Linked DNA regions of Sus scrofa. The protein of the gene in region 1 interacts with the protein of each later gene in a pairwise test. Links are inferred from orthologs where the notes say so. Each region holds a gene or a part of one and is shown on either strand. Other genes may lie near its edges.

Region 1 (8,302 bases):
ATTTATTTATTTAGTCACCTTAATGCTTTGTGGCCAAATATTATCTTTATTTTATAGATTAAGAAAGAGACAAATAACTTGTTTAAGGCCACATGCTGCCATAGCACAGAACCTGGCTGATCCTGGACTATCTGATCCTCAGCCTCTACAAGTCAGAAATTCCCATCTCCATTCTCACATAGGTTCTCTGAGTCATCTTGGCATGCCACTTTCTTCTCTGAAGCTGTTTCCTCATCTACATAGTGAAGCAATTGTATCATAACAGTATTTTTTTAATTGTGGATTGAAACCTACTAGTGAATCTCCAGCAGATTTCTGACTATAGACTGCAGGTTTTTAAATTTTGCAAACACTGTATTATGTTATTTCTAAGGATCTGCCTAGCTTTAAAATCTTCAGATAAGGAAAAGGAACTTTTATAGGTCATTTTTTCTAAAAAAAAAAAAAGGATTTTTATTTATTTCAGATGTTGGGGATGGGCATGTCTTAATGGCATAAGAAAAGATCTAATCATTTCTTACAAGCAAAATATTCTACAGGCTTTCTCTAGCATCCATCTCACAAACATATTGAATTGTATGCACCATTTTAGAGATAAGGAAACTGAGCTAAGCTCTTCAGGGCAAATGACCCTTCAACACATAAACTGTAATGGAAAAAAAGAGATTAAAAGAGACTTAAGAGACTTGTAAATGATTTCAATGCATAATCTTAAACAGGCAAAAAACAAAAAAAGAAACAATTAGGAATATTAAATGCTGAAAATTCAATAAGAAGTACTGTAGATTTATTTTAGGTATGATAAGGATATTTGATGATATTAAGTAATTTCTGTTAATATTTTAGATGTGATCACGGTATTTCATATTATTAAGGAATTACTTCCAAGGATATTCTGGAGGTGATAATGGCATTATGGTTATATGTATAAATGTATATACATATATATATGCTGAAATATTTACAGATGAAATGATATAATGTATGCAATTGCTTTAAAATAAACTAGAAATGGAAGGAATGATTGGGTGTATAAATGAAATAAGATTGAATAAAACTTGATGAATATTTAAGGTGGTTGATGGGTACATCAGATTTCTTTCCTTTTGTCAAATTTTTTTTTTTTTTTTTTGGTCTTTTTAGGGCCACACTCCGCTATATGGAATTCCCAAGCTAGAGGTCAAATCGGAACCACAGCTGCCAGCCTACACCACAGCAACTCAGGATCCCAGCCACGCCTGCAACTTACACACAGCTCATGGCACCACAAGATCCCCAACCTACTGAGGGATGCCAGGGATTGAACCCGAGTCCTAATGGATACTAGATGGGTTCATTACCGCTGAGCCACGACGGGAACTCTCCTTCCGTCAATTTTAAAAGTCTCCACAATAAAACGTTTTTTAAAAGAAAAAGAAAACTACAGTAAGAAGGGAAAGTAACCTTTTTCTCTCAAGACTTTGCAAGCCAGACTGAACACCAAATTGCTGAGTTCCAAATTTTTATTCAGTGGTCCTCTATTAAGATATAGCCTCTTGGAGTTCCAGTCATGGTTCAGTGGTTAAGGAACCTGACTAGCATCCATGAGGATGCAGGTTTGATCCTTGGCCTTGCTCAGTGGGTTAAGGATCCAGTGTTGCTGTAAGCTGCGGTGGAGGCCAGCAGTTGCAGCTCCAACTTGACCTCTAGCCTGGGAACTTCCATATGCTGCAGGTGTGGCCCTAAAACGACAAAAAAAAAAAAAAAAAAAAAAAGATATAGCCTCTTTCTTTTCTATTTTGTAAGCTTCGCTCCAACCAAAAGTCACAGATCCTCTTGGATTCAAAATAAAAAGGCATTTACAGTAAAGATGAGGAGAGACCAAAGACCCTCTACAAGAGAAGCAAAATGTACCACCAAGAGTGCAACATTATCCAGGCAGCATCAGCTAACCAAAGTTACTAAAACACTCCTTTCTGGGTCATGAGTTAACAGGCCTTTCTCTTCCTGTTTTCTGAGTGTACTAACACCCCCAGATTATCTGGCCTTTTGCCTGATTCTATAATTTGAAGATGACTAATTTCAGTATGACAAATACATACGGGATTATTGTTGTGTGGGGGATTTTATTAGACTGAAAACCCTACTGTCCTTTTCTATAGCTCTTCATCTGCAGAAATCAAATGATATCAACATTCACATTGAAGGAATTAAGTGAAGTCTCTTGGGAGTCACACTAGACTGCAATGACTTCATTCAGAGCCAGAGTCTGCTCCAAGTTCCCCTTTATCTAGCATCCCCTTATCATGAGGGTTTAGGTCAGACCTTCTGGATACAAACTACTAACCCTGGGGGAAGTACAGCAGAGAGGAAATATCAGCCCGCCTGGCCAGACCTGTCCTCCGTTCTATTTCTCCCCATTGGAGAAGAAAGTTCACCCTAGGTCCAAGAGGGGGTAGTTACTGAGCTGATGACAATTTAAAGGAGACTTCGAGGTGTAGCTATTAACAGCCTGATGAAGTTTAATCACCTGGATAATATGCATGAATTTTATATATATATATATAAAATATATATATATCTCCTAGGATATATATACAGGATGCCGGATGCTTTCTACATTTCTGGACCACATTACTCTTACCATTCATCCTGCTAAGGAAATGCAAAACTGCGCAAATCTATTTTTTAATTTTTTAAAAAATTATCTGGGTTAGCCTACTGGCTGGAACATCTGAGCCAACACACTTCTAAAATAGAACAGCTTGTGGCTTAATCAGTTTCGCTATCAGATGTTCTAAAGAGTGGCACTGAACAAATTATTTTGTTTTTCTTAGTTTTCTCAATTGGATTAAAAAAAAAAAGTGGGTACTACCTATTTCAAAGAGTTGCTTGGAACACTAAAATAATTAGCATATGTAAAAATGTCTAGTTTTAGCTTAAGTCATTGAATAAGTATTATTACCTTTTCCAATTACCTGCAGGAAAGCCATGAAATATCCCTAGTTAAAAAAAGAGAGCTATGCCGCAGGAGCGGCCCAAGAAATAACAAAAAGACAAAAAAAAAAAAAAAAAAAAAAATGGAGTTCCCGTCGTGGCGCAGTGGTTAACGAATCCGACTAGGAACCATGTGGTTGCGGGTTCGGTCCCTGCCCTTGCTCAGTGGGTTAACGATCCGGCGTTGCCTTGAGCTGTGGTGTAGGTTGCAGACGCGGCTCGGATCCTGCGTTGCTGTGGCTCTGGCGTAGGCTGGCGGCCACAGCTCCGATTGGACCCCTAGCCTGGGAACCTCCATATCCCCCGGAGCGGCCCAAGAAATAACAAAAAGACAAAAAAAAAAAAAATAAATAAAAAATAAAAAAAGAGAGCTTGACTCTAGTGGAACTCAGACAGGAATGTGAATTTCCCCACCCCTAGCAGAGAATAAGAATTTGGATTCTACCCCAAGTGCAAAGTTTATATTCTACTCCAAGTTTCAAAAGAGATTTTACGTCCAAAACAATTCAGTATTTATTAAATACCCTTTTCCTTTTTTTTTCCTTTTCATTAACATCTCTTCCCTCCTATAATTTGCCTTTGTTCCTTCCTCTACTCCTCCAGATCTCAAGTTAGTTTTTTTAATAGACAACCTGCAAGATACATTTTGCTGATGTTGTTGTCCGCACTTTTGACATACCCCAAACAGACAAAAACCCTGGACACTGTGGAATTACACAGCTTGGATAGTGGATAAATGTTAGTGACTGTGTTAGTAGGGACGATGGCAACGAAAGTTGGCAAAGGATATGGAATGAGTCCCAAGAATATCAAACCTTACATTACTCCAAAGATTTGAAACCAGGGATCTCTCCAAGCAATGGGGCCCATAGTTTCTCTTCTGGTTTCAATTGTTTTGGAATAGAAGGAGATATATTCACAGTCCACAGTAATCTGTGCCTTCAGAATTGCTCTCGGTAAAACCTTAGCAATGAAAGCACTAGTGTTAGAGGGCTGCATCTTCTTGATTTAACGCTGCACCATGGAACAAAGGAAACCACTTTCTCCAATCTTTGGGGATCCCTCCTTCTTCTACTTCTATCCCATTTCTTCTCCTCATAACACTTTAACTGCCCCCCTTCTTTCTGTTTTTTCCCTAAATCACATCTCTGAGGTTTGCCAATTCTGTGACCACTCTAGGATCTCTAGCAACTCATAGGAGCAAAATTCTCATAACAAAATAACAATTTCAATCAAAATTCAGTCCAAAAGTATTTGTGCAGTTTATTCTGTGGTTAGCACCAAATTCTCTGTCTACTGTGCCTCTGAAAACAGTGAACCCATAGTTCCCCAAAATAACAGTCCCTCATGCTTCACTCTTGGCCTGAAGTCAGGAGAGAAGTGAAAATAAAATCCTCCAACACTACCCTTCCTTATCCCACCACACGAGGAGATGGCAGCCAAGCATTCATTCCCCCAGAGTTTCTCTTCCAAGAAGCTCCTCACTCACCCAACTCTTCCATTGTCTCACACCCAAGATGCCCTGGTACCACAGGTTGTGAGGAACTGCTTTGGCAAGTGCTGAAGAACAGGACCACAAAGGAACTGAATGAGGCAGCACGCAGCAGCCTCTATAACCCTTTCTGGTTCCTCTATTTGCCTAGCACTTCCTCTCCCTTGATTTGGTGGGTTTCTTTCTCTCTTGTCCTTTTGCAGGTCAGAGTTTTTAAAATGACATAGAAAAGGTGGGTAGTTGGGTTTGAGTTCTCATTGTGCATTGGCTCGGGTGATAAAGATTCAAACCTAATTTTGAAAATTTTGAGAAACTCCTATGTGCCAGGATCCATCTTGAATTCATGGGAATAGCAGATTTGCACTTGTGTTTTTTCCCAGTGTGTGACTGTGTATCAGAGAATCTTTTTTTTTTTTTTTCTTTTTCTGTGAAGCTGGGGTTCATGCTTTTCATAAAATTCTCCTTCATAAAATTCTCATCAGAGTTAACCAGCACCCAATTCATTTTTTTTTTTTTTGGTCGCTCAGCAGATATAGAGTTCCCAGGCCAGGGATCAGAGCCCAGCCGCAGTTATGACCTCAGTCATAGCTGCCACAACACTGGATCTTTAACCCAGTGTGTGAGGCTGGGGATTGAACATGCATCCTGTTGAGCCACAGCAGGAGCTCCTCATTTTGCTGTCTTTACTTATCTGGAAATTATGCTCACCTGCTTTCCTAAATAGACTGTCAACCCATTAAAGGCAGAACAGGATTATCAGGACCAGGTTACATTTTAATTCCCTCGGCCAGGTTTATTTCAGTGGTTCAAAATGCAAACTATAGGGGTTGTGAAGAATGAAACTGGGAGATTTGAGACACCAGGTTCTAAGCTGCAGACATCTCAATTAAGCACAATTCCTGCCTACTGCCTTATAGCAGTTTTTCTGAAAAGTCACACTGAGATTAACTTTCACTTTTTTTTTACTGCTGTGATTTTATTCACCTTGAATAAAACATTTAAAAAAAGCCTAATATGAGAAGGCAGTATTTAAAGAACTAAAACTATGGCTCTGTGATATAGATAGTACCCTCATTTTTACCAGTGGTGAAATAGATAATAGTAACTTGCTAAAGATAACAGAATTAGTAGGTAGCTTTGTAACTTGCTATAAGATAGATTTATCTTCCAAGTTTGTAATCTTTCCTCTACAACAGAGTGATCTCTATTTAGGTTACTCTAAAGGAATCATTTGTTCTCCATTTCATTCCATTGTGACTCTCAAAACTTTTTTTTTTTTTTTTTTTTTTTTTGACATAAAGGAGATCCCACCTCTGCATTACTCTGAGCAGCCATTGGATGTCAGTGCCATTCTAAAAGTATGCTCACTGCAAATGGGGGTTTGAAAATTTTCCATCTACACTATGACAGTTTTTACAGTTGAAATGCCAGTAGCCCCATGAAAGTGCGAAACATTCCACAAAGACTATGAACATTGGCCCATCTGAAGTGGTAACTGAACCAAAACACTGGAAGGAATAATGTTCTCAGCCCTTGGCTTGCAAATGTGGGACTCCAACTGCAGTTTAACTGAATGATTCATGTGACACTTAAAACTGGATCCCAAGATCTTGTTTCTATTCATTTACTTTGGAGACTTTTAATTCCGGAGTTTTATTTTCCATGGTTAAGAATCGTTCCTGCAGATCGCTTCTTGATTATAATAGATGAAAGTCAGAAAGGAAGGAACGCAAGAGGCTCACTACCCTCACCAAATCCAACTTGAAGATGAGCAAATGGAAACTTCGTTTTGATGCATTAGGGCAATTTAGTTGCACATGTTGGTGGAGAGAAAAGTAATTTCTGACAAAGCTGCTATTCTGACCACGCTTCCTGTGCAACACAAAACAAGTAAAAACCACAGAAGCACACGGCTTCAGGGCGGGGGGTGTGAAGGAGGCCTTCAATTTTCTGGGTGGGTCACCAGAGTCACGCAAACAACCCTTCATCCTTCTCTCCAGCCCAGGGACCACAGCCAGGTTAAGCAACTGACGCCAGTTCCTTGTCCCCGGCGACATCTAATAAAAAAACAATTCTACAATTCTTTCCACAAACTTTTATTAAAAATCAAATGAGTGGTGGTGATTGTGCTAAGCCCCCTATGAATCAATGGAACCACAATCAATCTTTGACTTTGAGACACTCACAGGTTAGTGGGTCAGACACAGGAGAAGACGGATATTGCAGATATGAACGCTAGCCAGTCTCAGACGATGTGCCATATAACCAAACAAAGGTAAGGGCTATTAAGTGGCCACCCTAGAAATGATTCGCCAACACCAAGTTAAAGAAGCAAGGAAAATCCTGCCAGGCAATCCCGACCAGCAACGGGATCAACAGTTGTGCCCGGACCTGCGCAGGCTCCTTGCGGCCTAACCCGGAAACACAACCTCCCCAGAAGAGCAAATTCTAACTGCGGAAAGAGTAAACTACCTTTCCCATCATGCACCAGTCAAAAACTCCCAGAAGCCTCTCCGCCTCTGGTTTCCTAGCTTTCTTCCTAAGGCGTAGGAGAAGCCGAACTTCGTTTCCCAGGATGCCTTTGGAAAAGTTAACCATGCTCATGCGCTAAGAGGCGGGCCCTACTTGCCCTCACGACCCCGCCTCTGTTTTGCCGCCGCCATTTTTTCAGAGACTTTCATCCGGCAGCCGACGGGGCTTTTTTTCTTAAAGGAGAAGCGACAGCTCAAAAAAATTTCCCCTTTCTCTCCGCAAGACCTAGCGGCGCTGGGGACAGAAAGGCCACAGACAGGAGAGTGGGATCAGGGTGGAGGAAGAAGAACGCCGAGGCTACTTCCGCGGCTTAAGGAAGAAAGCTAGAAAGAGCCCTTGCGGCATTAGCAGCTCCTTAGGGAGGCAGGTGCGCGCGCAGCCAGTTCAGGGTGCGCGCCAGGAGGGGAAAGAGGTGCGTTTTCTTCCCACTAATCTCCTCGCGAGACCTGACCCTCCCACTGCCCCTCGCGCGCGTTGAGCTTCGGAGGTGGGGAAAAAAAAAGGTCACTTTGGGATTGTCGCGAGACGCAGCCGTTTAACGGTGAGAACGGGTGCGCGGGGAAGGAAACCTCGCGCGTTCCCTCGGAGCCGTTTCCTGATTGGCTGAAGAAAGGGGTGGAGGCGGGAACCCGGTACGCCGCTGCGCGAGAGACTGTGAGGGGCGGGGCGAAGGAGCTGTTCCTCCTCTCCGATTGGCCCGCTGTGCGCCTGTGGCGGGCGCGCGCGCGCCGCCAGCAGTAGCGGGCTTTGAGTGGCAGGGGGCGGGGGGGGCGCCCTCGGAGACGGGCGGAGGGGAGGGGGGGAAAAAGAGGAGCGCAGTGAGTGAGCCGAACGCTCCGGGGGGCGGGGGGGAGCAGCGTCGCGGCCGCCGCCGCCTCCGCCTCCGCCGCCTGGGATTAGGGGGTGGGGGACGGACGAGTCCCGATGCCGGGGGAGACGGAAGAGCCGAGACCCCCGGAGCAGCAGGACCAGGAAGGGGGAGAGGCGGCGGCGGCGGCCAAGGCGGCTCCGGAGGAGCCCCAACAACAGCCCCCTGAGGAGGCGGCGGTGGCGGCGCCTGCGGGGACCACTACCAGCCGCGTGCTGAGGGGAGGTCGGGACCGGGGCCGGGCCGCTGCGGCGGCCGCCGCCGCCGCCGCTGCCGCTGTGTCCCGCCGGAGGAAGGCCGAGTATCCCCGCCGGCGGAGGAGCAGCCCCAGCGCCAGGCCTCCCGACGCCCCAGGGCAGCAGTCCCAGGCCGCGAAGCCCCCGTCTCCAGCTCAGGGCAAGAAGAGTCCGCGACTCCTGTGAGTAACGCAGTCT
Region 2 (8,324 bases), on another chromosome or scaffold:
GGGTGGAGGCCCGGAAACGCCGCTGAGCCCGGCAGGGAGAACAGCCTGAGTACCGGCCGTCAGCACGGAGGGAGAGGGTGCCTTGTCCTCCGCCTGGTGCGGAACTGAGGCCTGGGTCCCAGAGCAGCAAAATGGCCAAGGGGCGGAGTGAAGAAGCGAGAAAAGAGAGAAAACTACCGGCAAAGCACCTCTCAAAAGGACGGAGCGCAAACAATCGCTTGTGGATTGGGGCCGTTTCCTAAGCGGGAAAGAGGAAAGGGTGCTTCGGCAGCTGGGAAAACCAAACCATTGCTTGCGACTTGTGATTGTCCCCCTCAAAGTATCATCGACACAAAATAGTCGCCCCTTCCCACCTTCCTCCTGCCCCCGAAACTGGAGTCTGTAATAGAAGGAGGGGTAGGAGATTCAAATGATGGGGAAGGGGCTGGTCCTGACAAGTGCCTCACCAATCCCGTAAGGTGATGCGATGAGGGGAGCTGCACGGGTACTGGGGTCCCCAATTCTTTTCTTCTACAGTGGTATTCCCCAAGTATTCAGAGCAACACCCTGCACCCTCGCCAGAATGGGCAGCCTGAGATATTAAAGGGCTATATTTCAAGCAGTCTGAGTTTAATAGTTTCCAGATTGGGGGATTTCCGAGAAAGGGGGCGCCGGGCTGAGGCATACCCGGCAGCTCGAGTCTGCTTCTGATTAGCAGATGAAAACTGCCCGTTCTGGGGAAGGTGCTCTGGGGTGCTAGGCAGCTGCCCAGCCCCATCGGGGCTGATCCACAGCACACCCCACATCCTTGCTCCTGAGGTCCCACCACCATCAGAGAGCACCCCACTCCTGGCTAGTTCCTGACCAGCTTCCTTGGGTCCCAACTACACTACTCCCCCCCAAATGCTGCAGCCGCTCAGCATAACCCCAGTCACCCCCAGATCAACATTCAAAGTAAACACCAGAGAGAGAGAAAGATGGAATAGAAAAGAGAGAACTAGGCGATGGGGAAGGGAGGAGGATCTGAGAATCCACTGAGAGGTAGAAATGAAATCTAATTCTGATCATATTGGTTTTGCCATCTTCCTCCTCCCTCCCTCCCCCTCTCCCTTCCTTCCTGCCTCCTTTCTTCCCTCCCCACTTTCTCTCTCCCTGTCCCTCTCTCTGCATCTTGCTTCTTTTACTCTCGCTGCAGTCCCCAGGGCCTGACCCGCTCCCTGAGGCCTGCTGGGCCTTCCTCCTCACTGTTCACCCCCCACCCTCCCTAGCACCACCCCCTCCACACACATGCACCAAGCCATCCCACGAAGCCCCTATGCAGCCAGGCAGGACTCCAGCCCGGGCCCTCACCCAGCACCCAACTTTCATCTTCACCTATCTCTCCCCTGCGATCTCGTGTACTCATAAATTATTACAATTAATTACAGCCAGGGAAAACCATTCATGCCGTGCCCCCACCCCCCTCCCCGGCACCCCCTCCCGGGGGGGACTCCATCCAGCTACCCGGAGACACACACAGGAGGCAGCCAGCCTGGGCAGGCACGAGCTGGAGCTGGACCCTGGACCCGGGCCTCAGCGGCCTCTACCGCACCCCAGAACCCTCACCCCAGTGACAGCCTGCCTGGAGAGCAGCAGTGGGCACTTGCCCTTCCGATGTCCAGGGAGCCCCTTGCGGGGCTCCAGCCTCCCCCAAAGGATCTGAGCACTTGCCTCCTCCATGGACAGGAGCCACAGGGAGGAGAAATAACGAGAACTGGATGCAGTTGGGTTTCTGGTTTTTTAAGTGACTTCGATATATTAACACAGAGCTGTTCTACCATAACAAACAGAAGCACGTTACAGGACGGACTCTGGGGATGAGAGGAGACACTGCTATGTACACGCCCGAGGCGCCGGCCTGCGCCGCCGGACCCAGCCTGCGGCACGGTCCCCGGCCCTCGCCCCTCAGCTCCTGGGCTGGAAGCATTCTTGTGTATGTATGTGTGTCTTTTTTTTTTTTTTTTGTACAAAATCTGCACGCAGAGCACCCCAGGCCTGGGGAGGGATGGCCCGGGCCAAATACGATACAGGAAAAAAAAATAGAAATATAGCGATTCAAGTACTGGCTTCTCTGAAGAAAGGAGAAAAAAATCACATTTGTGTGTGTCATTTATTTCAGTTGCGCTGGGAGAAGAGAACGCGGTTTCTCTCCCCGCCTCCTCCTCCTCCTCCTCCTCCTCGCCGGGTAGAACTAACTCTAAAACACCAATTTCTCAACACTGAACCCTCCCAAATCGCAAGAGTTTTCCTTTTCCCCTTCCCCTTTTTTTTTTCTTTTTAAGCTGATTGGCTTTTCTCTATCTTGCTCTTTCCTTTTCTTTTTCGTGCTGTCTCCCTCCTGGGTTGGGGTATTTTTGTGGGTTTTTTTGTTTTGTTGTGTTTTTCCCTTGGCTGTGCCGAGGCAGCAGGCCGGGGCAGGGTTTAGGATTGCTCCTTGTCGGTTTTCTCTTTATTCATCTTTTTCATCTTCATCCTTCGGTTCTGAAACCAGATTTTGACCTGCCGCTCGGTGAGGTTGAGAACCCGGGCCACCTCGTACCGACGGTCCCTGGTTAAATACATATTGAAGAGAAATTCCTTCTCCAGTTCCAGCGTCTGGTACTTGGTGTAGGGGCAGCGCTTCTTCCTTGTGGAGCGGGCGTGGATCCAGTTGGCCACGGGGTTGCCTGGAGGGCCAAACACAGGCAGGGGTCAATGGAGCCCCTTTCCAGCCTAGGACCCCTGCCACCCCAACCCCCAGGCTCAGCCAGTTTCCCCAAACCTAACAATTGAACCTGAATTTGGACACGTTTTGATTTAGGAATCCCCCCCCCAACTCCTTTTGCATTCCCCCCCACCTTCCCCGTCTCTCCCCTCCTCAGTTTCCAGCACCTAAAACTATAGGAAATCGAAGCTATCAAAGCCTCTACAGTCTGGTCCTCAGCTTCAAGAGTAGTAATTCGAGAATATCCTCATAAAAAGTCCAAATTCCCAACCGTTTCATAGGCCCATAAACGCTTCTCTCTCTTGTTTTTTATTTTTACAGCGAGGTCTCTCTCCTCCCCAGTTCCCTCCTCCTCTGCCCCCTCCCATCCTCCTAGCCCACGACCAAGTCCTGAAATTTCAGCACTTCTGCTTCCTGACCCTGAGAGTCCCCAAGCCCCTCACTGCCCTCTCCAGCGCCCCGTCTCCGCTCTCTCGGAGTTGAACCCTGCTGAGGCGAATTCTCAGGGTGATGATGCCGGGCCGGGGAAAGCTTTGCCTTGCTCCTCTCCCCCAGGGAGCTGCTGGCCTTGGGGACAGGCTCCCCTATATCTTAGCTTCCCTCTTTGACTTCCAGTGTCCCCCTCCTCCTGCCAGCCCCAGGGACAGGCTCTGCAGGAGCCAAGCCTCCAATTTCAGGTTTATGGGAGTAGCTGAGGGCAAGAAGGGAAGCCTTCAGAGGGGTATAATTAGGCCCTGGCCCCTTATGGGGCTTCAGGAAAGGATTTCCTGCAGCCCCCTCCAGGGACTCCCCCAGACACTTCCTCACACCCAGGGGCTGCACTCCCTCCCCTGCTGTTTCCCCTTCTTTCCTCTTTCTCTGGCCCTGCAGCTCTCACCTGTCCCCCAGCCCCCAACCCCTGGCTTTCTTTGCAATACTCAGAAGTCTCCTGTTTCCCTGATTGGAGTGTGTGTGTGTGTGTGTGTGTGTGTGTGCATGTGTGTGTATGTGTGTGTGTGTGTGTGTAATTCTCTAATCTGGGGAGATGCCTTTCCCCACTCCTCTTCCCTGACTCCCATCCACACCCCTCTCTCCTGCAGACCCTCAGAAGAGGGCTCTCAAGTTTAAGGAGACTGGGACCCCACTTGTCTCCCCCAACTCTGGAAGTCCTTATCTCTCCCAGTTCCCAGCCTGGGAAAGCACCCAGATCCCTCACCCAGGGTTCCAGGGAGAGAAGCCCATGGACCTCCTGTTTTATGAATCTCTAGTGGGGTGAGGACCCCCATGCTGCCTGGGAGGTAAAGGTGGCTTTTCTCCCTGGGGTTATTTCCTCTCTGCCCCTAGTGTCCTCATCTCTCCCCCATCCCACCCCAAACCATAAAACGAACCTCGCCCCCACCCCATCCCCTGGCCCTGTCTGCATTTCTTCGAAAGTAGAGAGCGAGCCAAAAAGCCTGGGCCGGGGGTGTGTGTGGGTGGGGTGGGGGGGCTCTCATCAAAGCCAGCTCCTAAGAGAGGAGCCCCCTCAGCCCTCTCCCAACCTGGCTCCCTGGGCCCCCTTCTCAGACCTTCCTGCCCCTGAAAGCTCCCCAAGGTAATTCGCTTTTATTGAGTCCTCGCCCCCTCGCCCTCGCCCCTCTCCCGCGCTCCCTGCACCGCTCCGAGGGGCTGTAATCCGGCTCCCCCCTCCCGCCCGTCCTCTCCTCCCCTCCCGCGCGGGTTGTAAAGGAAAATTGCTCCCAACTTACTGGGGTCCAGGTCGGCCTTCTCCTCTTTGTGCTTGCTGCCGGCGAGGGCGTCCGCCTCGGGCGAGGGCAGGGTCTGCGGGGCGCGGTCGCGCAGCTCCCCGGGCGAGCCGTACATGTAGTCCGGGTAGCTGCGGCCGTCGCCCGGGCCGCAGTCGGCGCGGCGCCCGGGGTAGGCGTCCGGCTTGAGGGCGTAGTGACGGCCCCCGGCCGGGAAGCTGGGGAAGGAGACGGCGCCGGACAGCGGCTCGAGCCAAGTCCGCATGTAGCGCGTGTCGGCGCCGAGGTGGGGCTGGGGGCCGTACGGGTGGTAGACCACGGACGACTGCGAGGGCACGGGCGCCCACGACGTGCTGAACACGGCCGGCTTGGGCGCGAAGCTACAGGACGGAAAATCGCTACAGTCCGGCACCAAACCGCTGGGTCTGGCGGCGGCGGGGTGAGCCCCCGTGGCCGGAAACCTGGACGCTAGGAGGTCTTCATTGTCGTGAGAGATGAGCGAGTCCACGTAATAGTTACTGATGGGCCCCGTCGCCGACATCGTAACAGGGTTTTACATACATAAGATTATTGTATGAACTGTATATGTACTTTTTATCTGCTCACAGAACAATCAAGGCAGGTAATTATTTTTCCAGCCTTTTCCCCGCAGCTCATTGGCTCCCCGGCCCCCACGTGATCGTATTTACCCAAAAATACGGCGCGGATCAATGCGCAGGGGCTTTTTTTCCTGGCTTTTTTTTTTTTTTTTCCCTCCCTTCTCCCACCCCCTTCTCTCTGCTGATCCCCGCGACCTGCGTTTTCCTGGGGGTCCGCAACTCTGGACCCAAGGACCCGGCCACCCCCTCAGGACAACTCGCATCTCAGCAGAGCAGCCCCTGGCCCAGGTCCACCCATAGGCAGATGGCCTCCGCCCCCACCCCCGGGAGGATTTCTTAATGGGGTGAAAATGCCAGTCCCCGAAGCCAGGGTTCCGGGACCCCCGGGGCCGAGCTGGGCGCGGGAGCCCCGCAGGGGCGGAGAGACCCGGCGAGGTAGGTGGAGGAACTATTTCTTGACGTAATCCGTCTCTGTCGGCCCCGACGCTCCCGCAGTCTCTGCGCGAGCCGAGATCAGCGATTGTCAGTTCGGAACGTGGCTTTTAAAAATGCGTTTTTAAATAGTGTGTATGTATGTATTTCTTTCAGGAGCTGCAGCAGCAGCGAGGGAGGGAGAGTGGGAGGGGACTGGGGAAGCTGGGGTGGAGGGAGGGAAGGAGGGAAGGGGAGCGTCCTTCTGCCACTGGCCAACTCAGCCCCCCAAATCTGGGGCAGGGGAAGCTTGGGGAAGGTGGTCCACGGGTGGGAGGGGTAGGACCTTGGGACCTCATCCACCTTTGTCACCAGAAGTCCTCTCTTTGCTTTGGCACAGACATGCAAACGCCTGTATTTTAAATTTATTGTCTATATCTATTTATCTTTCTTTGCCAGCCTGAAGAAGTGGAGGAGAGATCTACACAACTTCAGTGGGGCGTACCCATCCTGTCTTCCTGTTCACCCTCCTCTGCCCCCAACTCCATCTCTGAGACCTCCTGCCCCCCCACTTGAAAAAAGAAGTCGCTCGCGGGCTCTGTCTGCAGAGAGCCAGGGTGAGAGCGGGCAAGGCGAAAGAGCGACCTCGGTCGTGGGCAAGTAGCTTGTTTTTACGTCCTTCAATAAAAATTTTATGAGGATCATTTGATTGTTCATAAATGTGTCTTTCATTAAATAAAATTGTAGGCTGTTTTTGGAACGGGAAAAAAGCTACAGAGGAATGGGAGAGAGCAATTTCTTTGGAGTCAGATGCAGGAATTCTGGAGGGGGCAGTGTGATTGTGGGGACGATCACACAACTTGGATTCCTCCCCCCAATAAGTTGGTTGCTACCCTCCTCCTTGAATTTGGGGTTCGCTGCCCAGCCCTCTGCTTTCTAGCAGACTGTCCCGTGGTGGTTTAGCAAAGGTGGGCTTTGGGCAAGCAGGACATTCTCAGTGTAGGTGCAAGAGAGGGGTCAGGGAAGTTGGCTGGGGGCGGGGGAGAAGGGCAGGTGATGTCCCCAGAGACAGATGCGCCCTGGGCATGGTGGAGGGAGTTTGAAGGAGGGGTGCAATTTCAGGGTCAGCAGGGAAGAGTCTAATTTGCGCTAGGGGAAAGAGGCAGGCGCTGAGGCTTAGACACAGGCTCTGAGGCAGCAGGGAAGGGCAAGTCTTCCCAGACCCGAGATGCCTGCCTGCCCTTCTTTCCCACTCCTGTCCCCAGGAGGGGACCAAACGCCAGGGGTGGGGGTGGAGGCTGCTTTTTTTTTTCCTGCATCTCTGTCAACTTGTCTCCTCTGGGGAGAAGAAGGGCTAGAGAGAGGTGTCCCAGAGATTGTAGGATATGTGTTGGGGGGGGGGGGAGTTGAGGGGGAAGGGTAGATCTGCAGCCTGCAGCACTGACCCCAGCCTGCCAGGCCCCCTCCCCAGTGCCTGCTCCTCCCCTTCTCTGGTTCCTTCCTTTTCGGTCTAGCGGGGCTGGGATTTTGACGCATGGGGGTGGGGGGGGACGTGAGAAGTGCCCGGCTGGGGAGAGGCAGCCAGGGGCCTCAACCTCTTCACCCCAGGCCGTGATTGCCTTCCCCTCCCCAGGACTGGACGGGTCTGGGAAATCCAAATTACAGCAAGAAACAGAATATCTCTTTGGCCTTGATGGAGTTGGGTTAGCTGTCAATCAAAAATTTTCCCTCACTAGTTCAAGGAAAAGACAGGAGGTTCCCGTCCCCCTGCCGTGGCTTTCTCCAAATCCCCAGTGCCACCATCAGCACGTCCCCCAGGTGCAGGCTGGGGGACCCTGCCTGGCTCTGGGGTGGCTGCTGGCAGCGCAGAGCAGAGACGTGTCGCCTTCAGAGGGCCCGGGGCCAGACTGCGACCAAGAGGACATCAGGGGACAGAGCCTGAGAGAGACAGCCCGAGACAGCCTGAGAGAGTACGACCGAAGCACGGCGCCAGGCCCATAGAGAGGAAGGGAGGAAGGAAGGAGGGCAGGAAAGAAGAAAACGAAGGATTAGGATACAAGGCAGAGGGAGGGGAGGATTACAGAAGAGAGGGGATGCAGGAGGAAGAGCGAGAGGAGAGCAGGGAAAGGAAGGCATGCAGAGAGCGAGCCGGAGGAAGGGCGGCGACAGGCAGGCAGACGGGGCAGGGCGCGGGCTGGCCGAGCAGCCGTGGCATTGTGCAGCCGGGCCTTTGCTGCGGGACCGGCTCCGCGCCTCCGGACACAAAGGAGGAAGAGGCCTCCTCTCCTGCCCCTCCCTGGCGACCTGCTGGGGTGGGTACACCAGGCCTCCGGGGATATCGAACCCTATCTCGGCCCAGACAGCCGCCCAGGCAGCTGGGGACTGAGCCACACTCTCGTCAAGGAGCAAAGCTATGACCAAGGAGGTTTTCACGCTCGCTCCTCCTTGGAGTCTTCACCAGGCAACAGGGCCCATCTACCCCAACCTCAGTTTTCCTAGAAGAAAGACGCCCCTAAAGCCCCTCTCCATGGGCCTCCACTATTTGGGAGAGCCCCCCAGGCATAGTGGCTGTAAACAGATGCCCCTTTCTCTCCTACCCCCTTCGGCCACTGCCTTCTTTTCAACTCTTGAGCAGCCTGCCCACCCTCCCTGCCCACCCGGAGGCAGAGGCGGCAGCCACGGGGCAGCCGAGATCACCAGGCCCAGCTCTCTGCTGCATGCCTTCAAATTCTCTGTGAAACTGAGGGGAGATTGTCACCTCCGGTTCAGAGCGTGAACTCAGACCCTCCCCACTCAGGCGCAGACACAGCTGTGGATCAGGAAGCAGGCCTCGCCCACAGCCCCCTCCCCACCAACGCCGCCCCGTTT

What was found.
Region 2: the proteins of LPXN (region 1) and HOXC9 interact in binary tests that used the Homo sapiens proteins (3 or more experiments, as listed by UniProt). The two-hybrid records come from large-scale screens. The link is inferred for Sus scrofa from reciprocal best matches to the Homo sapiens genes LPXN and HOXC9.

What each region holds. Positions count from the first base shown.
Region 1 is NC_010444.4:12,531,099-12,539,400, reverse strand, and holds the start of LPXN (leupaxin), read right to left. Parts: upstream 4,622-8,302; 5' UTR 4,479-4,621; coding exon 4,466-4,478; intron 1-4,465. Other genes in the region: E3 ubiquitin-protein ligase ZFP91, read left to right, coding at 7,925-8,286. UniProt on the Homo sapiens protein: Transcriptional coactivator for androgen receptor (AR) and serum response factor (SRF). Contributes to the regulation of cell adhesion, spreading and cell migration and acts as a negative regulator in integrin-mediated cell adhesion events.
Region 2 is NC_010447.5:19,209,645-19,217,968, reverse strand, and holds HOXC9 (homeobox protein Hox-C9), read right to left. Parts: upstream 5,480-8,324; 5' UTR 4,988-5,479; coding exon 4,450-4,987; intron 2,685-4,449; coding exon 2,440-2,684; 3' UTR 2,110-2,439; downstream 1-2,109. UniProt on the Homo sapiens protein: Sequence-specific transcription factor which is part of a developmental regulatory system that provides cells with specific positional identities on the anterior-posterior axis.